Lonchura striata: one gene and its partners. The main gene of each other region encodes a partner of the protein of the gene in region 4 in a complex. Links are inferred from orthologs where the notes say so. Each region holds a gene or a part of one and is shown on either strand. Other genes may lie near its edges. The genes, in order: LAMTOR4, FLCN, LAMTOR3 and FNIP1.

Evidence for each region.
Region 1: FNIP1 (region 4) and LAMTOR4 share a complex: the UniProt entries of both Homo sapiens proteins name them as parts of the lysosomal folliculin complex. The link is inferred for Lonchura striata from reciprocal best matches to the Homo sapiens genes FNIP1 and LAMTOR4.
Region 2: FNIP1 (region 4) and FLCN share a complex: the UniProt entries of both Homo sapiens proteins name them as parts of the lysosomal folliculin complex. The link is inferred for Lonchura striata from reciprocal best matches to the Homo sapiens genes FNIP1 and FLCN.
Region 3: FNIP1 (region 4) and LAMTOR3 share a complex: the UniProt entries of both Homo sapiens proteins name them as parts of the lysosomal folliculin complex. The link is inferred for Lonchura striata from reciprocal best matches to the Homo sapiens genes FNIP1 and LAMTOR3.

The regions. Positions count from the first base shown.
Region 1 is NC_134636.1:1,852,938-1,860,537, forward strand, and holds the start of LAMTOR4 (ragulator complex protein LAMTOR4), read right to left. Parts: upstream 3,011-7,600; 5' UTR 2,936-3,010; coding exon 2,933-2,935; intron 1,708-2,932; coding exon 1,630-1,707; intron 632-1,629; coding exon 514-631; intron 1-513. Other genes in the region: CHD3 (chromodomain-helicase-DNA-binding protein 3), read right to left, coding at 4,593-4,693, 5,605-5,734, 7,425-7,588. UniProt on the Homo sapiens protein: As part of the Ragulator complex it is involved in amino acid sensing and activation of mTORC1, a signaling complex promoting cell growth in response to growth factors, energy levels, and amino acids.
Region 2 is NC_134618.1:15,352,395-15,359,878, forward strand, and holds the start of FLCN (folliculin), read right to left. Parts: upstream 3,017-7,484; 5' UTR 2,773-3,016; intron 2,643-2,772; exon of another isoform or gene 2,573-2,642; intron 1,525-2,572; 5' UTR 1,496-1,524; coding exon 1,247-1,495; intron 75-1,246; coding exon 1-74. Other genes in the region: COPS3 (COP9 signalosome complex subunit 3), read right to left, coding at 7,379-7,432. UniProt on the Homo sapiens protein: Multi-functional protein, involved in both the cellular response to amino acid availability and in the regulation of glycolysis.
Region 3 is NC_134606.1:49,696,970-49,704,463, reverse strand, and holds the start of LAMTOR3 (ragulator complex protein LAMTOR3), read right to left. Parts: upstream 3,013-7,494; 5' UTR 2,933-3,012; intron 2,828-2,932; 5' UTR 2,787-2,827; coding exon 2,778-2,786; intron 2,639-2,777; coding exon 2,604-2,638; intron 1,982-2,603; coding exon 1,923-1,981; intron 1,100-1,922; coding exon 966-1,099; intron 1-965. UniProt on the Homo sapiens protein: As part of the Ragulator complex it is involved in amino acid sensing and activation of mTORC1, a signaling complex promoting cell growth in response to growth factors, energy levels, and amino acids.
Region 4 is NC_134617.1:10,455,251-10,462,388, forward strand, and holds the start of FNIP1 (folliculin-interacting protein 1), read right to left. Parts: upstream 3,016-7,138; 5' UTR 2,906-3,015; coding exon 2,817-2,905; intron 1-2,816. Other genes in the region: MEIKIN (meiosis-specific kinetochore protein), read right to left, coding at 6,980-7,026. UniProt on the Homo sapiens protein: Binding partner of the GTPase-activating protein FLCN: involved in the cellular response to amino acid availability by regulating the non-canonical mTORC1 signaling cascade controlling the MiT/TFE factors TFEB and TFE3.

The DNA of each region.
Region 1 (7,600 bases), on a different chromosome or scaffold from region 4:
GATATTTCGGGGCCGTTTTGTGCCCGTCTTGGATATTTTGTCCCCGTTTTGGATATTTTGTCCCCGTTTTGGATATTTTGTGCCCGTTTTGGATATTTTGGGGCCGTTTTGGATATTTTGGGGCGGTTTCGTGCCCGTTTTGGATATTTTGTGCCCGTTTTGGGTATTTTGGGGCCGTTCCGTGCCCGTTTTGGATATTTTGGGGCCGTTGCGTGCCCGTTTTGGATATTTTGTCCCCGTTTTGGATATTCTGGGGCCCTTCCGTGCCCGTTTTGAGTATTTTGGGGCCGTTTCGTGCCCGTTTTGGGTATTTCGGGTCGGTTTCGTGCCCGTTTTGGATATTTCGGGGCCATTTTGTGCCCGTTTTGGATATTTTGTCCCCGTTTTGGATATTTTGTCCCCGTTTTGGATATTTCGGGGCCGTTCCGTGCCCGTTTTGGATATTTCGGGGCCGTTCCGTGCCCGTTTTGGGTATTTCGGGGCGGTTCCGTGCCTCTTTTCGTGCCAGCTCACCCGAGAGGCGGCGGAAGGGCGGCTCGTGGCCGCGGGGCAGCCGCAGCCCCAGCGCCGTGGCCACCAGGCCCTGCAGGACGGTGGCCGTGTGCTCGTCGTTCTCCAGGTCCCCCGAGGACTGCCGAAGGAAGAATTCCGCATTTGGGGAACCCCGAAAGCTTTTTGGGAGTTCTCAGGGGGAACAAAAAAAATCCCCCCCAAAAAAACCCCCAAAAAGCGGCACCGAAATGCAGCAAAATCACCCCAAAAAATGACTTGAGGACCCCCACAAAATTCCTGGGGATCCCCCCCAAAATTTCTTTTGGGAGTTCTCGCTCAAAGATCCCAAAAAAACTGGGGGACCCAGGAGGAGAAAACTCCCCAAAAATGCCCCAAAAAACCACCCCAAAAATGACCTGAGAACCACCCCCCCAAAAATTTCCCAAATTCTTGGGAATCCCCCCAAAACTTCTTGGGAATTCTCACTCCAAGATCCCCCCCCCAAAAAATTGAAGCCTCCCAGAGGGAAACAAAAATCCCCAAAAAATAACCCAAAACCCACCTGGGAACCCCCGGTTTGAAGGGACCCCTCCCCAAATTGAGGAACCCCCAAAAAAGCTTCACACCCCCCCCCCCCCCGAACTTCCCCCCCCTCCCCCAGATTTTGGCACCCTCAAATTCGAGGACCCCCCCCCCAGATTTTGCCTCCCCCCTCCCCCAACTTTTAGGGACCCCCTCCCCAGTTTTTGGGACCTCCCAGTTCCGTACCTCCCCCCATTTTTGGGACCCCAATTTTGGGACCCCTCCCCCCATTTTTTAGGGATCCCTTTCCCCAATTTTGAGACCCATTTTAGGGACCCCTCCCCCCATTTTTAGGGACACCCCCCAATTTTGGGACTCCTTCCGCCATTTTTAGGGACGACCCCCCCTCAATTTTGGGACCCCTCCCTCATTTTTAGGCCCCTCTCCCCCCATTTTTAGGGACCCCTCCCCAATTTTTGGGACCCCAATTTTAGGTCCCCCTCCCCCCATTTTTTAGGTCCCCCTCCCCAATTTCGGGACCCCAATTTTAGGTTCCCCTCCCCCCAATTTTGGGACCCCTCCCCAATTTCGGGACCCCCCGTTCCAGCCCCTCACGGCCAGCACGGCGCCGTCGCTGATCACGAGGAACCCGGCCTGGGCCGGAACCCGCTCCAGGCCCTGCGCCAGCGCCGCCTGCGGGCCGCAGACAGCGCTGTAAACCAGTATGGACCAGTACGGACCAGTATAAACCAGTACGGACCAGTATACACCGGTGTAAACCAGTACGGACCAGTATAAACTAGTGTAAACCAGTACGGACCAGTATACACCGGTGTAAACCAGTACGGACCGGTATAAACTAGTGTAAACCAGTACGGACCAGTATACACCGGTATAAACCAGTACGGACCGGTATAAACTAGTGTAAACCAGTACGGACCGGTATAAACTAGTGTAAACCAGTACGGACCAGTACACACCGGTATAAACCAGTACGGACCAGTATACACTGGTGTAAACCAGTACGGACCAGTATACACCGGTATAAACCAGTACGGACCAGTATAAACTAGTGTAAACCAGTACGGACCAGTATACACCGGTATAAACCAGTACGGACCGGTATAAACTAGTGTAAACCAGTACGGACCAGTATACACTGGTGTAAACCAGTACGGACCAGTATAAACTGGTGTAAACCAGTACGGACCAGTATACACCGGTGTAAACCAGTACGGACCGGTATAAACCGGTGTAAACCAGTACGGACCAGTATAAACCAGTACGGACCAGTATACACCGGTGTAAACCAGTATGGACCGGTATAAACTAGTGTAAACCAGTACGGACCAGTATACACCGGTATAAACCAGTACGGACCGGTATAAACTAGTGTAAACCAGTACGGACCGGTATAAACCAGTATAAACTAGTGTAAGTACGGACCAGTACACACCAGTATGGACCCGTATAAACCGGTACGGACAGCGTTAACCAGTATGGACCAGTACGGATCAGTGCAGCCCAGTATAAACCAGTACAGGCTGCTGTCATCCCAGTTCCCCCCCAGTCCATCCCAGTCCCTCCCAGTTTATCCCAGTCCCTCCCAGTTCCCTCCCAGTTCCCCCCCAGTTCCCCCCCAGTCCATCCCAGTCCCTCCCAGTTTATCCCAGTCCCTCCCAGTTCCCTCCCAGTCCCCCCCAGTCCCTCCCAGTTCCATCCCAGTCCCTCCCAGTATATCCCAGTCTGTTCCCAGTCCCCCCCAGTCCCCCCCAGTCCCTCCCAGTCCCATCCCAGTCCATCCCAATCCATCCCAGTCTGTTCCCAGTCCCCCCCAGTCCCTCCCAGTCCATCCCAGTCCATCCCAGTCCATCCCAGTCTCTCCCAGTCTCTCCCAGTTCCCCATCCCAGTTCTCACCATGGCGACGCTCCCGCTTTCCCTTCCGATCACGTGACCCGCCCTCAGTACCCGCCCCGATCCCTCATTGGTTTAGCGCTTCTCTCGTCGCCGACCCATCCACCAATCGGAGCCGGCTGCAGGATCACGTGGGCAGAGAGGCGTGGTGAACTCGCTGGTCCGGCGCACCGGAAGTGACGTCAGTTACCCAGCGCGCGGCTCTGTAGTTTCCCCCACGGAACCGGAAGTTGCGCTCGCCCCGCGCATCTCGGTGGGTCCTCCCGCGCCGGAAGTGACGTCAGTCCCCCAGCGCGCGCTCCATCGTCCCTCGCTCCTCCAGCCCCGCCCCCGCGCCCCCCAAGAAATGGGGAAATTGGGGCAAAACGGCCCAAAAAAGCTTCAAAAAAAGGGGAATTCCCCTCCACAAACCTCTCCATGGTAACCTTTGGGACAATCCCGGGTTTATTCCCCACTGCTCCGGGACAATCCCGGGTTTATTCCCCACTCCTCCGGGACAATCCCGGGTTTATTCCCCAGTCCTTTGGGACAATCCCGGGTTTATTCCCCAGTCTGGGACAATCCCGGGTTTATTCCCCAGTCCGGGACAATCCCGGGTTTATTCCCCACTGCTCCGGGACAATCCCGGGTTTATTCCCCACTCCTCCGGGACAATCCCGGGTTTATTCCCCTCGGCTCCGGGACAATCCCGGGTTTATTCCCCACTCCTCTGGGACAATCCCGGGTTTATTCCCCAGTCCTTTGGGACAATCCCGGGTTTATTCCCCTCGGCTCCGGGACAATCCCGGGTTTATTCCCCACTCCTCTGGGACAATCCCGGGTTTATTCCCCACTCCTCTGGGACAATCCCGGGTTTATTCCCCACTCCTTTGGGACAATCCCGGGTTTATTCCCCAGTCTGGGACAATCCCGGGTTTATTCCCCACTCCTTTGGGACAATCCCGGGTTTATTCCCCACTCCTTTGGGACAATCCCGGGTTTATTCCCCACTCCTCTGGGACAATCCCGGGTTTATTCCCCAGCTCCGGGACAATCCCGGGTTTATTCCCCACTGCTCCGGGATAATCCCGGGTTTATTCCCCACTCCTTTGGGACAATCCCGGGTTTATTCCCCAGTCTGGGACAATCCCGGGTTTATTCCCCAGTCCGGGACAATCCCGGGTTTATTCCCCACTCCTTTGGGACAATCCCGGGTTTATTCCCCTCGGCTCCGGGACAATCCCGGGTTTATTCCCCAGTCTGGGACAATCCCGGGTTTATTCCCCAGCTCCGGGACAATCCCGGGTTTATTCCCCAGTCCTTTGGGACAATCCCGGGTTTATTCCCCAGTCTGGGACAATCCCGGGTTTATTCCCCAGTCTGGGACAATCCCGGGTTTATTCCCCACTCCTTTGGGACAATCCCGGGTTTATTCCCCAGTCTGGGACAATCCCGGGACAGACTCGGGTTTATTCTCTGCGGTGAAACGGAGCCCGGGCGGGGGGGGAGGGCCGGGGAGCGCCCCTCCCCCCGACCCCGCTCCTATAGAATTCCAAATTCCGTATTTATAGCCCCTCCCCCCCTCCCCCACCCCCCGCCCCTCCCCCCGCCGGGCTCGGGGCCGCCCCGGGGTGGGGGTTTGGGGGGGGGAGGGGCAGGGGGGACCCCCGGCCCCTCCCCCCCCTCAGTCGTCGATGCAGATCACCTCCCCCCCCCGCGGCGGCGGCTCCTTCCGCTCCAGCGCCTCCGCCTCGCGCTTCACCAGCACCGCGGGGCCGTTCGAGGCTGGGGGGGACACGGGGGTCAGGGACCCCCACCCATGGGACCCCCACCCATGGGAACCGCCCCCGAGACCCCCACACCCACCCATGGGACCCCCACCCATGGGAACCGCCCCCGAGACCCCCACACCCACCCATGGGAACCCCACACCCACCCCGCTTCACCAGCACCGCGGGGCCGTTCGAGGCTGGGGGGACACACGGGGGTCAGGGACCCTCACCCATGGGACCCCCACCCATGGGACCCCCACCCATGGGACCCCCACCCATGGGAACCTCCCCCGAGACCCCCACACCCACCCATGGGACCCCCACCCATGGGAACCTCCCCCGAGACCCCCACACCCACCCATGGGACCCCCACCCATGGGAACCCCACCCATGGGACCCCCACCCATGGGAACCGCCCCCGAGACCCCCACACCCACCCATGGGACCCCCACCCATGGGAACCTCCCCCGAGACCCCCACACCCACCCATGGGACCCCCACCCATGGGACCCCCACCCATGGGAACCGCCCCAGAGACCCCCACCCATGGGACCCCAAGGGAACCCCCTTCTCCACCCAATGACACCCTCAGAGACCCCAGGGACCCCCCCCCCGTGTCCCATTTTGTCCCCCCCAGTGTCCCCAGTGTCCCATTTTTGGGGATCACCCAGTGTCCCCAGTCCCCCCAGTCCCCCCCAGTGTCCCCAGTCCCCCCCGGTGTCCCCCCAGTATCCACCCCAGTGTCCCCAGTCCCCCCAGTCCCCCCCGGTGTCCCCGGTGTCCCCCCGTTGTCCCCAGTCCCCCTCAGTGTCCCCAGTGTCCCCAATGTCCCCAGTCCCCCCCGGTGTCCCGTGTCCCCCCGTTGTCCCCAGTCCCCCCCGGTGTCCCCGGTGTCCCCGGTGTCCCGGTGTCCCGGTGTCTCACCGGAGATGAAGGAGCCCGGTGGCATCTGGCTGTAGTTGGCCCCCCCGGGGTGGGGCAGGGCTCCGGCTGGGGGGGTCCCAAAGGTGCCCCCGTAGCTCGGGGGGGTCGCGTAGGGCCCCGGCGGGAAGGTCTGGGGACAGCACGGGGACAGGGACAGGACAGGGGACAGGACAGGGGACAGGGACGGGGGACAGGGACAGGGACAGGGGACAGGGACAGGGACAGGGGACAGTGACAGGGGACAGGGACAGGGGACAGGGACAGGGACAGGGACAGGGACAGGGACAGGACAGGGGACAGGACAGGGGACAGGGACAGGGGACAGGGACAGGGGACAGGGACAGGGACAGGGACAGGGACAGGGACAGGGACAGGGACAGGACAGGGGACAGGGACAGGGGACAGGGACACAGGGACGGGGACAGAGGGACAGGGACAGAGGGACAGGGACAGAGGGACAGGGGACAGGGACAGGGGACAGTGACAGGGACACAGGGACAGGGGACAGTGACAGGGGTAAGTTCTGGGGTCACTGCCCAGGGTCACCCCATGGTGTCACCTCCCACTGTCACCTCCAGGGTCACCTGGGGTCACCTCCCAGTGTTACCTCCTGGTGCCACCCCCATGCTGTCACCTCCCGGGGTCACCCCATGGAGTCACCCTCCCCGTCACCTCCTAGAGCCACCACCCCACTGTCACCTCCCAGGGTCACCCCGTCACTGTCACCTCCTGGGGTCACCTGTCACCTCCTGGTGTCACCCCGTCACTGTCACCTCCTGGGGTCACCTCCTGCTGCCACCCCCACAGCCAGGGGTGTCCTCAGGACAGGCTGTCCCCAGGGTCAGGGCTGTCCCCAAGGCGTGGACAATGTCCCTGGGGCTGGGTGACAGGGGGACAATACCAATGTCCCCACGGTGGGGTGACAGGGTGACAGGGTGACAGGGTGTCAGGGTGACAGTGTGACAGGGTGACACGGGGACAATGTGACAGGGTGACAGTGTGACAGTGTGACAGGGTGTCAGGGTGACAGTGTGTCAGGGTGACAGTGTGACAGTGTGACAGGGTGACAATGTGACAGGGTGACAATGTGACAGGGTGACAGTGTCACAGGGTGTCACTCACGGGCGGGGGGTGGCTCTCGGCGCCCTTGCTGGCCAGGCGGCTGAGGATGCCGAGGTGGCAGTGTGACAGTGTGACAGTGTGACAGGGTGTCAGGGTGACAGTGTGACACAGTGACAGTGTGACAGGGTGACAGTGTGACAGGGTGACAATGTGACAGTGTGACAGGGTGTCACTCACGGGCGGGGGGTGGCTCTCGGCGCCCTTGCTGGCCAGGCGGCTGAGGATGCCGAGGTGGCAGTGTGACAGTGTGACAGGGTGACAGTGTGACAGGGTGACAGTGTGTCAGGGTGACACGGTGACAATGTGACAGGGTGACAGTGTCACTCACGGGCAGGGGGTGGCTCTCGGCGCCCTTGCTGGCCAGGCGGCTGAGGATGCCGAGGTGGCAGTGTGACAGTGTGACAGTGTGACAGGGTGACAGTGTGACACAGTGACAGTGTGACAGGGTGACAGTGTGACAGTGTGACAGTGTGACAGGGTGACAGTGTGACACAGTGACAGTGTGACAGGGTGACAGTGTGACAGTGTGACAGGGTGTCACTCACAGGCGGGGGGTGGCTCTCGGCGCCCTTGCTGGCCAGGCGGCTGAGGATGCCGAGGTGGCAGTGTGACAGTGTGACAGGGTGACAGTGTGACAGTGTGACAGGGTGTCAGGGTGACACGGTGACAATGTGACAGTGTGACAGGGTGTCACTCACGGGCGGGGGGTGGCTCTCGGCGCCCTTGCTGGCCAGGCGGCTGAGGATGCTGCGCTCCGACATCTGCAGGCGCGCGGCGATGGGCGGGATGCGCGACAGCGTGGCCGGCAGGCGCGTCACGTCCGCCTTCATGTCGCTCAGCAGCTCCTCCAGCTGGTTCAGCACTGCCCGCCAAG
Region 2 (7,484 bases), on a different chromosome or scaffold from region 4:
CTGACGTACTTGATGGAGGTTTCCTTGTCGTGGCTGACGTACCCCGGGTGTCCTCCTGCAAGAGAGCGGCAGCCCTGAAGGCAGAAAAGCAAATCCAGCCATAAATGAGCGTGCAGGTATCTGAGATTTCCAAAGAGCTCTGACTGTTCCCTCCAAAGCACCGTAAAATCTTATTTACACACACAGACAGGAACACAAAGACTCAGAAGACAAGGAAGGTGAGTCAGGGTCAGGATTTGAACTCAGGTCCTCACACAAAACTCTGATATACTTCTTCTGCTTTTATGCTCATTTTCCACTATTTAAGCCCACTATGAACTTAGTGCTGGTAAAGTTCAGTTACAGCAGCTGAGAAACCAACCGGCCAAACAAAACTGGCCACAACTGAAGGGAAAGTAAATAATAAATATGTGAGAGGAAGTACTGATAGAAAACAAATATGAGAATCATAGAATGGTTTGGGTTGGAAGGGACCTTAAAGAGCACCTCATTCCACCCCCTGCCATGGGAAGGGACACCTTCCCAAGCCCCATGCAACCTGGCCTTGGACACTTCCTAGGATGGGGCAGCCACAGCTTCTCTGGGCAACCTGTGCCAGGGCCTCACTACCCTGAGAGGGAATAATTTTTTAGTATATCTAACCTAAATTTCCCCTTTTTTCAGTTTCAACACACTACTCCTTGTCTTATCACTGCAGTTCCTGATGAAAGTCCTTCTCTGGATTCCCTGCAGGCCCCTTCAGACACTGGAAAGGTACTGCGAGGTCTCCACACAAACTTCTGTTCTCCAGGCTGAACAGCCCTGAATGAATGAGAATATAATTTTTTCCTATTGTTTTTATTGTTTTACTTTTTAATTCTTTCCTAACCAATACTGCTCTTAAAATTACTATTAATAATTTATCTGATCTAATCTAACAAAATAAATGTTCTTCAAGGATGAGCAAAGCATTTCTCAGCCACAGGAGAATCACAAATCACAGAACTTAAAGAGACATCAAGGTCCTGTCAAGGTGTATGCATTCAACAACAGCTCCTTCATCCTCTTGTCATGGATCACCAGGATTACAGTTAGGGCTAGCTTGCAGTTTATGAGGACTTGGACATCTTCTGGCACTGACACATATAAAACATATTCTGTTCACATTTTTATTTGTCTCTAAACAATTCAATTTACATCAGAGAATCCCAGAGCCCTTTAGCACAGCCAAGGACGGAGATCCCCACGCACAGATTTTCCCACTTGCCTCACACATGTCTGATTTCTTTGGCCCTGGGCTGCTGGAGTCGGCGCTGGCCCCTTCAGCCGGGCTGTGCGAGCGGATCCTGCTGCTCATCTGAATCCCACCTTCCTCCTCCTCTGCCTGCTCGTTCTGCCCGGAGATGTCCCCGCTGCCGGCGCCCTGCGGGAGCGGCGAGTGCAGGACCTCGGTGCAGAACAGGGTGCGAGGGCCGTGGAGCTCGCAGAAATGGCACAGGGCAACGATGGCGTTCATCGTGAGGGCTCAGCACCGCCGCCAGGCTCCTGCAGCCAGGGGCAGAGCACACGGTCAGTACACAGATACAGGGCAGCTCTCAGCCCTTGCTGCTGCTCTGCACCCCACCCGGAGCAGCTGGCCTTAAGCTCAGCCTGAGACCTCCAGGACCATCAAGTCCAACCGATCCCCACCTTGTCACCCAGCCCAGAGCACTGAGTGCCGTGTCCAGTCTTTCCTTAGACACCTCCAGGGATGGTGACTCCAACACCTCCCCAGGCATTGCACTGATCCAGGAGCAACCTTCTGTTTGCTGATGGGCAACCCCATCAGCAACTCACCCTGCCGTGCCCAGATGCTGGACGCTGATCCAGGACACGTCAAGCCCCGTGGGGGTGAATGGGGCTGGACCAATCCATCAAGCCCAGATACCTCCAGTATTACAGGTTCAGGGAATCCCAGAATGGTTTGGGTAGGAAGTGACCTTGGAAATAACCCAGTACAACCTCCTGCCACGGACAGGACACCTTCCCCTATCCCAGATTGCTCCAAGCCCCATCCAACCTGGCCTTGGACACTTCCAGGGATGGAGAAGCCACAGCTTCTCTGGACAACCTGTGCTTCCCCACACTCACAGGCCAAATTCCTTCCCAATATCCTATCTAAGCCTGCTGTCGGTTTGAAGCCGTTCCCCCTGGTCGTGTCACTCCACACCCCTGTAAATAGTCTTGTCCCATCTTTCCTGCAAGTTCTATTTAGGTACTGGAAGGCCACAATTAGGTCACCCCGAAGCCTTCCCCTTTCTAGGCTGAACAATCCCAATTCTCCCAGCCTTTCCTCAAAGGCCAGGTGCTCTTCCCCCCCGATCACCTTGGTGGCCTCCTCTGGATCAAGGCTGAGCTCAGACCAGAAGATCCCCCGTGGCCGGAGCCTCAGGCCGGATCGGGCGGGCGCTGCGGAGCACCCAGGGAGCCGAACGCTCAGGCCCTGCCGGAGCCAGCCTGTCCCGCGGGTGCAGTGTCCGGCTCCCCGCTCCCCGTCACCGCGGCCCCGCTCCCTTCCCCGCCGCCCCGCTCCCGTGCCCGCCGCCCCGCTCACCGCGGCGCCCCCGGCCCGTCCCGAGCCTGACACCGACTGACCCACCGGCCCTACCACCCCACCGCCAGCCGGGGGGGGGGGGAGGGGGGGCAGGGACACACAGCGCCCCGCCCGCGCGCCCGCCGCCGCCGCGGAGAAGCGAGAAGATGGAGAACAAGGTAGGAGAGAGACAGAGAGAGAGATGAGAAGCCCGTTCGTACCGCGGGACTGAGCCGGCCGTCCCGCCCGGAGAGCCGCCACCCCCCGGCTGCTGCAGTGGCTCGGCCCAGGGCCGCCCTGTCCACAGGGGCCGGGCGGAGCCATTATCTCAGAGGGGGGTGTAAGAAGGTCTGGAAGGCGCACCCTCCCCGCCCGCGCTACACCTGCCCAGCTGTCACGGCGCAGAGCGGAGCAGCGGTGTTCCATCACCGGGGACACCGGAAGGGACGAGCGGCAGCCAGCGACCGGCGGGGGCCGCCCCGGGAGCGGACGGCGCTCCCCCCGCGGGGTGGTACGGGCCGCGCTGTGGGTCATGTGACCCGCGGGCTCTGGGAGGGGACCCGGGGTGGCCGCGGGCGGAGCCCCGGAGGGGCCGGGACCGGGACCGGGACCGGGACCGGAGCCGGGGCCGGGACCGGGACCGGGACCGGAGCCGGGGCCGGGATGGAAACCGCGGCCGGGTTGGAGCCTGCCGCATTAACGAGCTTCGCCATCGGCTGTCGCAGAGCCCCTTCCCGGGACTTTCTCCGGCCTCAGGGCGGTGCCGTGTTCTCGCAGGCTCGGCGCGATTTCTCCATTGGAGACTCAGCACCCACCGTCTGTGTTAGTTCCTTAAAGTGCTCAGAATGTTAGATTATGGCAGATGAAGGTTTCACAATACTGTCGTTTCCCGATGTATAAAGCGGCTCTGTGGAAGTGTTTGCACAGGTACAGCCCGGGAAGGGCAGGGGAGCAGATGCCCAAGTTAAGCCTGTTCAGGCTCTTTATTTCCATTAAACAACTCCTGTTTCTCTTCAGGATATCACATTTAAATATTAAAATATTATTTATCTCTTAAGAATCTATGATGGAAAGCTAAACCAAATTCCATATGAACCTATTGACCTTCAAAAATAATAAAGTACCAGATTCCTCCCTGCCCCTTGGAGTCGCCACTTAAAGAACTTTAAATACCTGAATCTGAACAAAAAGAATAAGTTTTCAGGTAGATAACAGCATAGATTATTCAACTGAGTAAAACTCGTACTTTAATCCCAAGAAAGAGCAGCTATTGCTGATACCACTACACAACACACCTCTGGGTCCAAGCACAGCCACTCATGGACTAATAATTATGTCTTTGATTAAAACAATAGCCAGATGGTCAGCAAGATGGATTGTTACAGAAATACAGAGCTCAGACACAAATCCCAGAATGGTTTGGGTTGGAAGGACCTCATGGACCATCCCATGCCAAGCCCCTGCTGTGGGCAGGGACATCTTCACTAGACTAGTGAAGATGCGTTCCATCCAAAATCCCAAAGCTCATCTCAGTCAAGGACCTGCAGCAGCACTTCTCCAGAAAGACACTAAAGAAAGATTATTTCTACTTGGAATTGCTCAGCAGAGCTCTGAGAAGCCACCAGCAGGGTTTCAGCACCTCTGGAGCAGAGGGCACTGCCACACACAGCAGGCAACCAGCAGCCTCCCCAGTCAGCCAAAAATCACCTCCTGAAAAGCAACCACAACAGAGAGATCCCCCCAAAAAACCTAAGAAAACCCCAAATGGAAAAGACCTACAATCTCATTGAAGACAAACTAAGAACCACTCGTTTGTTATCTTTATTTTCCAATAGTACATTTAAACAACTTCTCAGGACTAAGCTCCCGGGCCAGCGTGGCACACGGAGAACATTTCCTAGGTTATACAGACGGCCTGTGACAACACAAACACGGGGCTGTGGCTGTGCCGTGGCACACACAGGGAGCTGTGGAGGAGGAGGCAGCTGCAGTTACACCACGGAGCAATGGCTCAGCACAGCTCGCTCTGGGGCTCCTCAGTGGCACAAAACCAGGAGTGGGGGCTGGCTGGACACAGCTTCCAACCATTCCTCCTTAGGAACATTTCCAAATCTCACCGTGACTGGCCTAGAGACCCCTCCTGTGGCTATGAACTGCAGCTGCACATGTGATGCTGCCTTCAGAAGTGCATTTTGTGTCTTTGCCAATTAAAATGCATCAAAATCAGAGTCAGATATCAAAGCGTGCACTCAGTATTCCCTGGACACATCTTGTGACCATGCAGGATGGGAAGGAACAGCCACGAGACCTCTGAGAGTCCAAGTTGGGAGCAGCACAGCACGCAGTGTTCCTAGATTTCAGCAGAAGTCCTTCCCTGCAGTAAATACAAATTAAAACCAGAAAGCCCAAGTGTTCTCGAAGCCTCTCAGCTGACCACAGCCCAGGCAATTAGTTCCAAGACTTGGAAGGAGCTGCTTCATTAAAAATCTGACTTAATTTCAGCGCTATCTCAAGACATGCAGATGCCAGATCATGTGTGTTTATCAAACGAGGACTTAAAAGCCCTTCCCTGGAGCACTTTTGGTGAATGCTTTATCTACTGATTCTACAGGTGGGACCTGACTTTGAATTTCTAACAGAATTCAGACATTGACAGCACAGACAGAAAAGGAACCGCAGCCATTCTCTAACTTTAAAAGCATTTGCCCTCTTAAAAATCAGATATGTAATGGAATATATCACTTTAAACTATTACACAGCTATTTTTGCCATCCTTTTGATGTGAGCATGGATTTATTTTATCTACTTTGGGCAAGGAAAAAGAAGAGAAAAATCTAGAGCTATTCACCAGCTGCATGGATTAGTTTGCTTCTAATTCCACAGCTGGAAAACCATCCTGCAGATCTCAGCAGGTAAATCCATGCTCAATAACAGGAACTAGTAGTGTAAAAATGGACATTCCTGGTTTTTTTCAGACTCCATGACAGCATCTTGAATACATTCTCCCCTGGCAATACATTCTCCCCTGGCAAGGGAGCCACTGGCAAAGAGAGTTGAGGCAGGCACATTTCTGGATGGGTGGGGTTTGGGGTCAGTTGTTTGCAGTCCCTTCTGTGAGTGCCACATGTGGTTGTAACAACCACCCTGTTTTGGGCTCAAGCCACAGCATCACTAATTACTCATTTAATACTTCCATGGGACCAGAGGGGAAAATGCTGTATGTTCAGCATTAAAATCACTGCAGGATTAACAAGGCTAAAAACCTTCCAAGTCATAGATCTCTTCTAGTTACAAGACTTGTGAGTTATGAAAAACCCCAAGATCTTGCTTAAAGATCAGATATAAAAGTTGTCCCAATGGAATTCTCTCAGGCAGGAAGTGATGAGCTACTCACACTATGGACCTCCACTGTGTTCACTACTAAATTGCTATTTTATACTTTTTTAAAAATGTCCTCCACCACCAACCACAACCTGGGACACCTCTCTGCACCAGAAGGCAGCACCCTGCTGCCACCAACACTTCTGTATCAGCGCTGGAAGCACAAATGGAATATTTTCAACCATAGGTGACCTCAATACATACAAACTTCTCACAGCAAGAGCCAGGAATGCTCAGCTCCCACCTGGACAAAAGCTGGCAGGGCAGCAGGAGCAAGCAGCTCCTGGCCAGGTGTTTCAGTAGGAAGCAGTGGCTGTTGAGCTTCTTGTTTTCTGATTTGATGACGGGTTTATTTCTGCCTGACAGGAAGGTGTTTGAACAGTGAGAATCTTCAAATACACGAGAATGACAGAAAATTAAACAGCCTGTTGGATTTAAGGGGTGAAGCACTTTAAAGAATCCAATAGCAAAGTTTCAAAGTTTAAAATAGTAAATTAAAAACCAGGTACCATTCCAACACATTATATCTGAATAAAATCCTGCATTTTGAGAGCTGTATAGAATTCTATTTATGTTCCATGCAGAAATACAGGTTTCCACCAAAGAAACAATCAGCCTGTTGAATACCTTCATGCCAGTTGCACAGGAACAAACATTTAAATTTCTTTCAGTGTAAACAACTTCCTATCTAGAATCCTCCAGAACACCAATGTTTTCCAAATATCCTTTTGTTTAGGCCTAATAAATTTCATCTAAGAGCAAATAATATTAGCAGATATTTTGCAACAGAAACTTAAAATCATAAACAGCTGTCACGTATGTTTTCCATATATGATTCTTACTTTGCAGCAAACTTCCTTACAAGGACATGTTGATATCCTCATCCTTTCTGGAAGAACAGTTCTTATTTCCTCATTTAACAGACAGCACCAGCTACATGGGGCATATGCAAATTCCCTACATTATGATTTGCTTGAACTCCACCTCTCTGCCCCCACCACACATATGATAAATCTGCACTTTGAGCCAACTTTAAATACAGAATAATGAACCAATAATTATCTTGTAAGTGAACCAACACTGGTTTGTATTCTTCCCTGAATAACACTTTCTTTTGCAGAAGAGGAGGACTGCTACAGAAACACGGCAACATTCAAACCCTTTAAAACAAAAGGTAGATTATTTAATGCATTAACAATGTTAATCTGAAGATAAATAAATCCACAACAGACTTTCAAGTTTCTTTTGAGATTTCCTTTTTCTTTGCAGAGAATATTTCTGATATTATACAGTACTGAGAGGGTGTTCTTTTATTTTCTTAATGTCCAGGTGAAAAGCAAAGCTCAGTTCTCTCTGCTCTCTTTGTGGAACTCCTCAATGCCCTGTTCCAGGCGTGATTCTTTCGTAAGCTTTTACTTGAAAGCGGAGTGGTGAGCAACATTAATTTCAAGAATAACTGGATGGTTTGGTCCCTGAGTCATCTTCTTGAGAGCCCATACTCTGAAAGGGAAAGAGTTAGTTCTGTTCAGAAACAGGTCTGCAGGCTTGAGAA
Region 3 (7,494 bases), on a different chromosome or scaffold from region 4:
AGGAGCAAGAGCCACAGAGGTGACTTTTTAGTGTACCCGTTTCTTAAGATTCATGGTTAGAAACACAAACAGACCTTACACTACAGTACAGGGAGCTGCACATGGAAAATCTGGCCATTCCCTCTGTCTCCATGTTCTACAGACTGCTGTCCACCAGAACCCTACCTTAGCTGCAGACCCTGCAGATTCCATTGTGGAGACACACCCTCCACAGGAAACAGGATGGCAGACAGGTTTATTGTTTTAAAATACTGTTCCCTGTACAGGAATATCTGTTCTTCCATTAACAGGGAAATGGTGCCATGGGCACAACAGTAAGCTAGTAGCATCAAGAGAGTCAAAGAAATGTACTGATGTGGGCAAACTGTCTTACTCACCCACTTATTTCCAAGCAAAGCTTGATACACTATAGGCTAAACAGCTGTTCAGTTTACTGCAGTCATAATTAAAAGCTCTCAGGGCCACCAGAACTCATGAAGGAACAGAAATGTAGTAGATTATAGACTTCTGGACACAAATAATTTATTTCTGAAAAATGTGAGTGGTATTTCAAACCATTCTTATCTCAAAGCCATATTGGCAGCAAGATTAACTATGAAGTAGGCTGCATGTACTTTAATTAATGTTAGGTGTCACTAATTATAAACATTGTTTCTAAAAGAGTACATAAACCCTTCATAAAAGATTCAGAAGACCATACGAACAATACCTCCTGCAAATTCAGAACCACTACACTTTCCCACTATCAAGAAGTAAATCTCAAGTTTTGAGAAATATAACAGAAGTTTTAAAAATACTGTGAAAGTTTGGCTTAACCATTTAAGCTGTGTAAGAAATAAACCAAAATTACTTCAATAGCAGCCTAGTGAAAATCTACCAGAGCTTAAACAACCTTCTTTCTCTTGCTCAATGTAACGCAGGAACAGCTCAAGTTGCTGAGGACAGGGCACGCTGAGGTTACTCACCTGGTAGGTATTGTAATAGCAGATGATACTTTTGTTTTTAGAGAGTCCTAACTTACTGCCCTGATCTGTGGCAAGGGCAAAGGTGGACAAAAAGCCAGGTCGCAGTGCATGTTCTGGAGCATTATCATTGGCAACTAGAACAAAACAAGAAAATCCTTATCTTTACATGGTGTCTCTGACTGCACCTCAAACTCTCATCCAGCTCAGTGCTCTGCCAAAACCAGAGAAACATGCAAGATGCCCGAGGTGCTCCCACAGGAACACCAGACAATTTTCACGAGCTGTACATAATTTAATGCTCTCTGTATGATCATAGCTTGCTATAGCAGCATCCCTCCTTGCATACCTGAAAAAGACTCTTTTCCTTTAGGATGCACAGCCTGTGCTGATGCCCCTTTGGTTCCATGTCCCACACTGTTTGCACCCATTCCAACCTTTGAACAGACTACTGGCACACACTTGACTGCAGACAGGTGAAGATGTGCAAGTTCTGCTGGGTGTTTGAATACTTTGGAGCATTGAGCAAAATAAACCTGCAATACTTGAATCTTTGTATCCTTAAACCATTATACTCACAAGCCAAAACCATCTGAAACAAGCACTGCAGAACATGAAAACTAGAGTACCAAAGAAACCAACAAAATACTGCCAAGCTCTCTCTACTACTTAGTATCAATCAGCCTGTGAGGGACTTGAAGCTAAAAGGACCTTACAGCATTCCAGCCCCTGTCATGGAGGAAAACTCCCACAGACTACAGTTACGGAGGGCACAGACAAAAGGATATGTTCAAAAAGGTACATAATCAACTAGTGAACTTTTACTTAAAGTCCAATTAAATTCTACCACTTGGGATATTCGGGTATTTGGCATAACCAGGAAGACTTTTCTGTACTTCTCCACCCTCTGCTGTTCAATCAGGATTTCAGCTGCAGAGCACAGTGAGAAGCTGAAGTTACCTTTGATAACAGGCACACCATCTCTATCTGAGACCACAATAGCATGAAGTCCTTCAACACTGAAAAAAAAAAAGGAAGAAGATGCATAATTTTAAAAACACAGTAATTAGTACAAAAGGTTTTTTGTGTGAACAAATGTGCAAAGAAGGGGAGAACTTTGAAAAAAACTGATGCCTTCATTAATTTAGTATTTGTTCTGTTTAGTACAGGTCTGGTGGCCCCAGCAATAAGAAGGACATGGAACTGCTGGAGCAAGTGCAGAGGAAGCCATGAGGTTGATGAAAAGGCTGAAGCACTTCCCCTACAAAGGCAGGCTGAGGAAGTTGGGGCTGTTCAGCCTGGAGAAGAAAAGGTTGAGTGGAGACCTCACAGCAACCTTCCAGTATCAGAACGGGGTTTATAGGGAAGCTGGAGAGGAACTCGTAATCACAAACTGCAGTGACAGGACAAATTGAAAACCAGGAAATTCAGGTTAGCTATTAGGAAAAAATTCTTTACTATGTGGCGGTGAGATAGTGGAACAGGCTGCCCAGGGAGGCTGTGGATACCCCCCCCTGGAAGTGTTCATGGCCAGGCCGGAGAGGGCTCTGAGCAAGCGGGTGTCGTGGGAAGTGTCCCTGCCATGGCAGGGGGCTGGCACCCGATGGGCCCGGCCGCCCGCCCCGCACAGCCCCACCTCACCTCGGCAGCTTCTTGTACAGGAACCGCTTCAGGTCCTGCGGGCAGAGACGGCGGCGCGTTACTCACGGCCGCTCCGAGCGGCCGGGCACTCCGGAGCTCCCTCCCCGCCCGAAGCACCGCCCGGCCCCGCCAGCAGCCCGCCCCGGCCCGCCCGCCCCGCGGAGCCGCACTCACGTCGGCCATGGCTGGGGCCCGCCCGCTGCTGCCGCCGCCGCCTCCGGGGCCTGCGAGACAAGACGAGGCGGCCCCGTCACCGCGGGCGGCCGGAGGGAGGGAGGCCGCGCTCCGTCCCGGGGCCCGGCCGGCCGCTCCCGCCCGCCCCGCCGTACCTGCCCGCGCCCCGCACGGCTCCGCCGCCGCTTCCCTCGGAGCGCTGTCACATGAGCCACGGCACCGCCCTGCCGGCCCCGGAACCGCTTCCCGGCCGTCCCCGCCCTCCCCGCCCCGGCAGCAAAACGAACCAAAGCCAAAACAAGCCATAGCGTTTTGCTTAAAGAAGATCAGCGACAGAAAGCGAACGTCTTTTTCTGCCGAGAAATTACTGCCGCTCTTCCACTGTTGCCTATTTCCCTTACTTTTGGATCAATTCCATCAAACCATGAGCCTGCAGGCCAATTTAACAGCTAATGTGAAGAAATAAATAGATTAATTTAGTAGATGCCTACAGTGTAACAGTTAGTTACAATGGTAACTGCACATCTGTTTTTAAAGTCTTCTATCGGAATGCAGGACCCTTATGGTAGATCTAAAAATGCCCCAAGCTGCTCAGCATGTAACAATGATTTTTCTTTAAAAAAAAAAAAAAAAAAAAAAAAGCTGCTACAGGCCAAGCACGGAATCACAGAATAAATTAAGTTGGAAAAGACATCCCAGATCATCAAGTCCAGACTATGACTAAACACCACCAGGTTAACCAGACCATGGCCCTGAGTGCCACGTCCAGTCTTTAATACCTCCAGCAGCAGTGATTCCATCACCTTACTGGGCAGCCCGTTTCAGTACTAGTCACCTTTTCTGTGAAGAATTTCTTGCTAACATCCAACCTGAATCTCTCCTGGCACAGCTTGAGATAATTTCCTCTCATCCTGTCACTGGTTGCATGCTAGAAGAGGCCGACCCCCCCAGCTACACCCTCCTGTCAGGGGGCTGTAAGCAGTAAGGTGCCCCTGAGCTGCCTCTTCTCCAGGCTGAACACTCACCCCCAGCTCCCTCAACCACTCCTCACAGGACTTGTGCTCCAGACCCTTCTCCAGCTCCGCTGCCCTTCTCTGGGCACACTCCAGCTCCTCAATGTCCTTCTTGCAGTGAGGGGCCCAGAACTGGACACAGCTCTTGAGCTGTGGCCTCACCAGTGCCGAGTACAGGGAAACAATCTCTGCTCCTGCTGGCCACACCATTGCTGATACAGGCCAGGATGGATGCCCTTGGCCTTCTTGGCCCCCTGGGCACAGCTGGCTCATGTTCTGCTGCTGTCACCAGAACCCCCAGGCCCTTTTCCACTGGGCAGCTTCCCAGCCACTCTTTCTCCTGCTTGTGGCACTGCCTGGGGTTGCTGTGACCCAAGGGCAGCACTCAGCCTTGTTAAACCTCATTCTGTTGGTCTCAGCCCATTGATCCAACCAGTCCAGATCCCCTGCAGAGACCTCCTGCCCTCCAGCAGATCGACAATGCCACCCAACTTGGTGTCACTGTGGACTTACCGAGGGTAGACTCAATTTCCTTATCCAGATCATCACTAAAGATACTGAATAGGAGTGGGCCCAATACTGAGCCGAGGGGACACCAACAGGGACTAGAGCATTGTTGATACCTGAAGATTTTGCTTAGATGCCAGTATAAAATTAAACTTTTAAAAAGTGTAAATTAAAAAAAAAAAAAAAAAAAAAAACTTGGAAATTGCTAATGTTTCTGCACATATAGGTCCAGTGACATTTCCAAAAAGCTCAAAACAGAAATAAGCCACTTTCTGCAAGTAAGAGGAAAAAGTAATTCAAAAGAACAAATTTATTTGAATACTGAGAATCCATACCTCCTTCTTAATCCAAGCCATGCACACACAGCAATTTGATAAGGACTTGGTCATATTAGAGAGATACTTAAAAGATACTTAAAATCATTGTGTGAGCTTCTGGTATATTTTGAAAATGCTACCTGGAACAACCTTGGTCTTCTCATTTATTAAAATATTCCCTAATATACACTAAATATGTTTAAAAATGCAACTTTTAAAAAATTATTTGCAGCCATGATGCTCAATGAACAATTTTACTTATTTCCCTGTCACATTTTGAATAAAAGCTATGCAAAAGCATCTATGAGATGGCTCCTGTATTACTATTAATGGGAATTTATTCTCCCATCCCAATGACAGTCATTCTATATGTGGAATAAACCAGTACTGGAGGGAGAAGCGTATCTTACATGAAGGATAACATTGTAACTAAACAGTGTATTTTAACATTATTTCTAAAAACATGGAGAAGCCCAATACTCAAACCTAATTCCTGCCAGACTGAGCAGTATGGGAAGTATAGTTTATAATGGTGTCCTGCTTTCAGCTGGGAGAGGGGAGTTACTTTTCTTCCAAGCAGCTGGTACAGTGCTGTGCCTTGGATTCAGTATGAGAATAATTTTGGTAACACAGATACTTTGGCTGTTGCTGAGCAGTGCTTACTCTAAATCCAGGATTTTTCAGTCTCCCACACTCTGGCAGTGAGCAGGTGAACAAGAAGCTGGGAGGGAGTACAGCCAGGACAGCAAACCTGGATGTGCCAAAGGGCAATTCCATTCCATGGATCCCCTCATGGTCAGTGTATAAACTGGGGAGGTTGGTCAGGAGCTGCTGACTGCTCAACAGGGACAGGCAGGGCATGGGTCAGAGTGTGGTGAGCAATTGCACTGGGCATCAATTCCTCTCTCCCTTGTTGTGTCCCTTTTCATTGCTGTTGATCACTGATACCTGATTTTGTTTCGATGATGAAACTGCTGTCATCTCAACCCACAGGTTTTACCTGAGTTCAATTTTTCCCACTGCGCTGTGGGGGTGAGAGCAGCTGGCTGCACGGTGCTGATCCATGGCTGAGGCCAAACCACAACAAATGGCCTTTTTTTTCCTACATTTATTGCATTACATTTTGTGTAAGTAAATTATAGCTTTAGGAATTTATTTAGTATTACCTGCTTTTTCTAAAAACAAAATGCTTTTACTATTACACTTTTCTTCAATTTGACAGAGCTACAAGGAGTCAGAATAACAACTGCTTAATGGTGAATGAAATTTATGAACAAACAACCTTAAAAAATATTCTTGCTCTCCCATTGAAATCCTTTCACAGCATTTGTTACAAAATTACATTAAAAATATTCATTATTTAAAGTTGTCTCTAATGTCTATTTAAATTCATCTGTTACAGTTTTAGCGCTGTAATGTTCTACCATTTCTTGGAAACTTGTTAAAAGAAAAAAGACCATTTAAAAAACAGTTAAAAATTCCAATTTAGACTTGTTTTACCCAAACAGAGAACTTGTAGGGAAATGTTCATCAGATGTGAACACTGAACTCGCTTGTGACTCAGGATGCTCCATAAATAGAACACATATTGATGTTATATTTCAGCAGATGCAAATCACCTCCTTTTTTCATTAGGCTATGTCAGAGTCATGCCAAGATTTTTCTCTTTTTGCTGGACTTTTCTGCCTGCCCTTTTAAAGGATAAAACCAAGAACCCATGCTTGTGCTATCTTTAACTCTAGATTAAATGAAAGGTAATCACTAAATAAAAACAGTAAGGAGCATGTAGCTAAAATTTTGAGGGATTTTTAGTCAGGCTGTTCAAAAACAGTGTTGTTTTCCTCTTCTCTTTCCAATATCTTATTTTAATGAGAACTTTTCCTTCTGAAGAAAGGTCATCTGAAAAGATTTAAGTACTCCACTCTCTTCAATTTGCATTTTGCTCATGAGAAAATTAATTCTGTACTTTCCAGCAGATTCCCTCAATAAATCCAGGGAAGATATTGACATTTCTGAAGGAAAAAAAAACCAAACCTTCAGACTTGAGGAAAAAAGCAACAATCATGAGGAGAAAAACACCCACTTGAAATATTAAAAGAGTGTTTGCAGGCCATATTTAGAGCAGCTTAATCTTTATGCCACAGGAAATCACAGCATCCTTTTGCACATTACTACGTATTTCAAAGTGTGCAAGTATTTAATCTGTTAAATGCTAAGCAGCATACTTCCACCAGTATAAACATATTATTTCCTTTTCAGAAAGTGCTAATTGCAAGGTAGTCAAATGAAATGTTGTGGTCTAGGTCTCACTTTTAACCTTATGGGATATCTGTGTTGCCATAGGGCACAGCCAGCACATCATTCCAGCTTGCAGAAGAACTGATAGGAATGGAACCCAGCTGACACAGCTCAGCATCCATCCATTTCCCCACTTCTCACCTGCACCAGAAGTGGCTGAAGGGCAGACACAGCCCATAGAATTATTATAGGCAGCTTTGCTAAGACCATCTGTTCACTCTGACTTCACAGTTCCAATATTTGATAAATGTGTTATATATCCTTTTTCCTGTTAACTAAAAGATCACTTGCAAGCTCAGACTCATTTGTAAACAGGAAGGTCTAAGTACTTGTTAAAGCCTTTGGAACAACTTTCTTCTTTTAAGAAGACACAGGAGTACCAGGATGTATTTTGATAGTTTGTTTTCATTGATATAATTACAATACATTCTGGACAGTTACAAAATCTGGGGAATCTCGTTTTCTCCATAGATTTTGATTGCATATTTCAAACAACTGGATGCCTTTCCATTACATCTGAACCCTTTTACTATAGCCTTAGTAAGGGCATTCAGTACAGCAACACTTTTTTTTTGTTGTTTC
Region 4 (7,138 bases):
AGCAGGTACTCTACATCTTGGAATATAAGGGCTTAACTGTTCCCTCCTAGAATGCTTGCAGGTGTTTCTGTGTTTCTTGTAAAGAGATTTTACCACTAAAATTTGAATATTCTTGCTCAACATGTGAATGTCAAGCTGTAGTAAGAGATTTCAGTCTAAGGGCCCAATCTGCCAATTGCCCAGGATTAAATGGAAGAGATAAAAAACTAACAAGCAGTGGATCTACTGTGATTTCCTAAAGTTCCTTCTGTAAAATAAACTGCATACATATAGATATATATGTTTAAAATTACAAAAATGGCAAACTGTCACCTTAGCAAATATTTTCCAGTTGCTAATTTACTGTTCCCATTACTAAACCTCTTAACTTCTCCAGAACCTAGTCACAAAGAGTTATACAGAGTCTGGCTAGACATAGGCTCACAAAATTTCACACACCCACAGCACAGAGAGAGATCTTTGGCCGGAAATTAAAAAAAAAAAAAGAAAAAAAAATAAAAGGAAAAAAAATTAAAACCCACCACAAACCTACCCACAAATCAACAACTAAACAAAATGTGTCTCCTGAAAAGTACTGTTTTATTTTTGAAACAGTGTAAGGTCAGATAAATAGAACTGATGAATTTTCACAATAAGACTGATGGAAATGTAAAATACATTGATAGTAAAAAAAAAAAAAGAGTGGCAAAATCATTCTTAAATGTTCTGCTATAGTAATGTCATTGCCAGAGTAATTGGGCTCTTCTCTCCAAGTACATATTATTCACAAAATATAATAAGAGAATTATGCATTTTTATGGGTTTTCTGAATAAGAGAGTTGTGTTTTCAAAGTGAAGACAGACAGAAATAACAGCGCTCAGAATATTTGGGAAATGCTGTGTTATTTAGACTGTAAATAGATATAATGTATCAATCCATAAAACATCACCTTGCCCCAATGAAATTGATGAGGTTGGTGCATTCAGGTTCACTGGAACCAGCAACAGTCGAAAGTGCTTATTTCCAGTCTCCAAAGACTCAGCTGTCAAGTATCAGTCCTTATTTTGTGTACCACCTGAAAGTTTCATCAGGAATTGATAATCCTAACAAGTTGTGATCTTAGCTACAAACTTAAGCCTCATTTGTAAAATGAAAGCAGCCATTAGGCAATGTGCCTAGAGAAATATGTATTAATCTTTAAAAATACTACTTGACTCTCCTAAGTCAGAGCTGGATCTCCCACCCTCCCCAGAGCCTCATCAGCCTTTCCCTGCAAATTCTACCTGTGGTTCCACAAAAAAAACCCAACTGCAAATTCACCAGTTACCAGTTGACAATTCATATCACAAAGTGAAACAGCACTACAAATTTCAGACCCAGTTTGGCACAGAAGGATACAGGTGACGAGGGAAGCACAGACCTTGCCAAGTACTCACTTTCCTTTCAACACGGGTGTGAGTCCCACATTTCTGCCCCAGGTCTGCACTGCAGCTGTTGCATGAACCACCAGTCTCTAAACAAACCCATCACTAAGGCAAAGCAAAAGGTACTAAGAGCAGTCTTAGTACCCCTTCCCCACCAAGGGCTCTGGTCCAGTATTAACATGATTTGGAAAATAAGATGACATTGACATCCTTCAAACGTTTTGTTTCTTAGAAAAAATAATTTTAAAAAAGGATTCACTCCATGGTGAATATCAGAGAGGTGTGAAAGCAGTTACGCATCAGTGTCTTCAAAAGTAGTGTGAGCTCCACGTAACAACCAGGAGCATGTCTTGACTCCTTAAGGACTCATATAGTCCAACCAATATTTTTTGAAAACCTCTGTAGTTAGGTAACTGCAAATACACTGTTATCCATCTAAACTGCTAAATACTGCAGCTGAAAGGTGTATTCCACCACAGAAAATTAAGCCCATCAGTCAGAAATGTCCCTTTACAGAGCAACCCAAGGGCTGATCATTTGTATGCAGTAAATTTCAAGGCAGCGGGTGGGAGGAGAGCTTCACCACACTGTTAGAAGTGCTTCAAGAAGCCCGTAACTCTTACTAATGAAGCAGATTTTATTTCCATCCAAATGGCAAACCGCACTTTAAGGCGATATTGAAGGTTCTGTCTTTGCCAGGACGCAGACACGGCATCGCTTTCGAGCCTGACCATTATTCACGCGTGGGTCAGCACAAAAGCTACCTGTTTCCGAGCAAAGCAGCCCGCGAAGCCCCAGCGAGCCCAGGCCCGCAGCGCATCGAACCAGCCTCCGCCCGGGCCGGCCCCACAGCCCCCGGGCTGCCCGGGCCCCTGCCCCGCTCCCCGCGCTCAGCCTGGCCTCGCTCGGCCGAGCCAGCGCTGCTGCTGCGCTCAGGGCATGACGAATTTCACCACAAGCCCCACTCCTCTCTTCGCCAAAACTTCACGTTCTCTCCCCGCTCCTGGGGCTGCTTCCTGGGGACCGGCCCGCAGCATCCCCGGAGGGGCCCGCGGGGCCTCGGACACGGCGGGGAAGGGGAGGCAGCCGCGGGTGGGGGTGAGGCACGGCCCGGCGCGGGGAGCGGCGGCCGGGGGGGCAGCCGAGCGAGGCACCGCGGCGGCCCCGACGTGGCGGTCCCGGGGGCGCCCGCCCCGCGCCCGCCGGAGGGGCCCGGCCGGGGCGGCCCGGGGCTCCCGCGGAGGACGGGGGACGGATCCCCCGGGGCTGGGGGGGGAACGGGGCACGTCGCCCAGGAGCTGCAGATGGGGCAGGGAAGGGTCTGCCAGCCCCCGCGTCCGCCGGGCGGCGGAGGGAGCGGAGAACTCGGAGAAGTTTGGGGCAGGGTAGGAGCGCGACCCCGTCCCGGTTACCTGAAGACACAGTCGTCGCGGGCGTCCCTGGCCGGGGAGATCAGGCCGTGCTTCTTGTTGAAGAGCTTCTGGAAGAGGGTGGGCGGCATTTTGGGGCGCTGCCGCTGCCCCCGCCGCCGAGGCGCTGGGCTCCGCGCAGCGCCGTCCCTTCGCCGCGGCTAGTTCCGCCCGCCCCGCTCCATTCGGTGTCACAGTCATATGACAGAAATTAGTCACCCGGCGCTGCCAGGAGGGGAGGAGGGAGCGAGGGGAGGGACGGAGGGAGCGGGGGCCGGCCGGCGGGCGGGGCGGGCCCCGTGGGGCGGCCCCGAGTGCAGAGCGGAGCCCGGCAGACCCCGCCGAGCCGGGGGCAGTGCGGAGCTCCTCCCGCTCCCCGCCCCGGCGGCTCCTCCGGCCGCAGCGTCTGCGGGAAAAGCGCCCGCTCCCGGCCGGGCTCAGCTGGGGGCAGGGCCAAGGAATGCCCCGGGGGCGGCGATAACACGCCGCTGTTGTGTTTTCCTTCTTCGGACGGAAGTTAAAGGCAGGAGCTCCAGGAAGGCGAGAGGTCACGATCGAGGCATCAGATCCTTCTCGTGGCTGTACCCAGCGCCTTCGGGACTCGGCGTGCAGGGGTGAACCAGAGAAAGGTGACGTTTTTACCCCAAGCCTCGAAAACCCAGCTCCTTCCCGCTCTCCTCCCAGGTACAAGAAGCGATTCTCCCACAGCTGGAGCAGAACCGCTCAGCTCAGACGCACTGGAGTCAAAACCTACAGGGAAGGTGGAACGCGTGTAGTTGATGGCAGAGAAAGCCATCATTAACAGGTAAAACATCCATCCACAAAAGAGTATTTAGGACATAAAGCCTAGCAACTGACTCCAAAACAAATTAAAAAAAAAAAAAAAGTGTGATAGGTTTTTTAAAATCAAAAGGATCCATGCCTTTTTACAAAACTATTAGTAATACCTAAATGAAATAGAAACAGTCTCCTTCAGTGTCTCACTGTTCAGATACAATCCTGCTAGGAAGTTTAATTAAGGACTGACAAAACTGACTGACTCATCTGCTTTCCCCGGAAAATGGAATTAAACAACATGTGATGTAAGATTAAATTAAGCATTATTCTTTTTAAGGCATAATTTAGCACGTGTAATGTATCTACAGAATGATTCTTCACAATCATCCATCTGTAGGAACTTCGTTTTCCATCTACCAGGAGTTGTAGACAATTCTACCACAAAACAGGAATTAATGTTTAGATGCATCTTTTCCCCCCTTATTCTGTACAGAAGACACATGTGGCTGCCACAGATTACACATGATGAATCTTTACATCTTTTCACCATGTAGAAGCCTCCTGGCTTCAAGAGGAGCACATAAATACAGTCTCAAAGATAGAAAGTCCTCAGGGAACAAAACTATAGAATAATGGCCAGAGTATGTAACTCAGCTCTCAGCAGTTTCACAACTTAGAGCAATGAAGATGTCACTAAGCTCAAGTGCATTGCAATTCAAGCTGATGGAGTCCCTTTAAATATAAGTGTACTTATGTATACATTCAGCATATTTTGATCTGGGCCCAGACATCTTTTCTGTGTCTAAAGATTATGAACCAAACCAGAAACATCTGCATGTAAGGCTTTACCCTCCACTGACCTGTTCATGTACCCCCCTTGTAGTACTCCAGTACAAGACACATCTCCCACCATCTCTGAGTACTTGGAGTCAAAGTCTCTTAAAAGTGCACTTCAGATAACAAGAATAACTGAACATTGTTAATGAAAAACCTCTTACAGATTTATGTATAATACATTTACTCAACATGCATCTGCCATGCACAATTCCTGCTGATACAGGATTATCAGAGTTCTTGCATGGACTGACTCGCTGGAAGCAATTCCATTCCAGCCATTAAGACTTCATCATGTCTGGGATGTGACAGAAAAGCCCTGGTGACACTGAACAGATTCTTCTCCTGAATCACTGCACAAATAACCTCCTCAGTCCTGCCCATTAACTGGCCATGACCCATAACCTTTATCTACCAATATGGAAGAGCTAGTTCCCACTCTGAATGAAATTTTATGTAGTAATTTTTCAGCTGAAAACCAAACTATGGGAAAATGCCTTTCCTTTGAGAATAGAGTAGGGATTGTTGCAGCGTCAAAATGAATTTCCTTCCCTGGGGCAAAAAGCTAGGCTGGTAATTAATTACACTTTCTCTAAGAGTCAGACAAAAGATGATAAGAAGCAGTGCTTTCATAACTGAAGGGAAGGACAAGAGATTGTGGTTCGTGATATTTCTGTCCTCCTATACAACCTCATCACATCAAGAAAAACAAAGGCAAACCCCAGCAATATTCATGCTGCTACAGCCAATTCCACAGTTACAGACCATGTTTTCCTCTCTTGCACTTTCCAATTAGTTTGCCAGTATTAGTCTCTTTGTATAACACTACCAAATGCCCTGGGGCAAAATAAGTGTTTTTTCCTATGACTTCCAGAATACCATTACAATAAACATATCTTTATTCTGGACCATCTTTTACTTGAATAATCATCATAAGCATTATGATGATTACATCATAAGCATTATGATGATTATTCAAGTAAACTTACTAAATATGTAACTTTCAATTTTGCTTAAAGCTACATCAAGGAGCTCACCTCCATCTCCTAGGGGCCCTAGATTATTGCATAATTACTAGTGATAGTATTTGCAAGAACAAGGATATTGATAATTAAAAGCATACCCGACAGGACTCCAAGGAGTTACTGGCAGAACTCATTCTATTAATGCTTAAAAGAAAAATAGCTTAATGGCATAATTTCTAACCTTGAGCCATTTAGAATGTTTATATAATACTTGTTCGCAGACTAATCCAGCAGCAATTATTTGCACTTCCTTCTACCCCAGAGCAATGGGCAAAAGATCAGAGTTTGAACTTTCACAGGTATTTTCAAATGCAGTCAAACTACAGTTATGGATTTTGTATGTCTTCTTTTAATTCTCTTTTAGGAAATACAGAACTATTTTCCAGGGTGATAACACTGAGAAACAAACTCAGACTTTTGAAAGCCATACTAGCATTTTGAAACATTGAAAAATTTTCTTTTCATCCAGATAGAGTCTAAGTAAAGGATATTGTAGTGAGAACACTGTAGGGGTCCAAATTACTTTAATGTGCAATGAATTCAAGTGGAAAAAAATTGTTCTTGACTGTTTTTTCCGAGACATTCAGCACATTAAGAACAACATTTATGAATTAACAATCCACAACCTGAACAGGAAGCACAGGGAGTCTAACTTATGTGGACACAGTGTGAGAAGTAACCTGAAAATCCAGAATGTCAATATCCATCTCTTCAAACAGTTCAGCTATAAAAGGGTTTTTCCCACCATTGTCTTCATGTAAGGCATTTACTTTCTCTTAAGTCTGAAGCCACTAGAAGAGAGAATGACTAAGAGATGTGATCTTACAAAATACCTGAGATGAAACAGGAAGGACTCTGTGGTGGCAGTGGCTGGGCAGTGGATGTGCCCTGAATGGTGACAGTGCTGATCATTAAGAGACAATTCTCAGTGATGATGGGGTGAAGATGACCTGTAGTCATGTTCAGAAATCAAATTACAGCAGAACTCACAGTCCCGTACCTCCAAAGTTCTGCAGACTTAAGCACTCAAGGAGTTTAATGGTGCCATACTATTGACTTCTGGGTCTCCGAGAGTGCATGAATGCTTTCATGGCCACTCCCAGGACTCCATGTTAACACTGACCTTCATAGTCAATGTTAACACTTAAACAGAGGTTCCATCTTTTGATGCTAATGCTACTAGAGAAAACTAGAAATCTTGGCAGAAAGAGCCAAAAGTAATTAATTAAAGGAATTTGGTCTCCTGTTCTTCAGTCAAACTTTTTAAAAATCTAAACAAATTGAAGAATCATCTCTATGGAATCTTACAGAACAATGCCCAGAGCAGGATCTAGCTGCTGAACAAAACAATTTAATATAAAGTATTTGAGTATTTACTAGCTTATAGAAACATGTAATATTAAATTTCAAACAACATTCATACAAAAACCATATAACTATTATTTACTAGTTAGGAGTTCTGTTTTACCACCCTGTCACAGTAGCAAGACAGTCATTTCTTCTGTTAACTCCTGCTGAGAGCCAAAAATCTCATCTCTGTTTACAGTAGATCCAATTTTTGGTACTTGTTATAGTATCTGGGAGAAAAAAAAAAAAGTGATAAATAACTATCAATAAAGTGGTACATTCTCACAAGTAAAAGAAAGCTCAATGATCTGACCAGCTGTTCAGATGTTCACTAGATATATC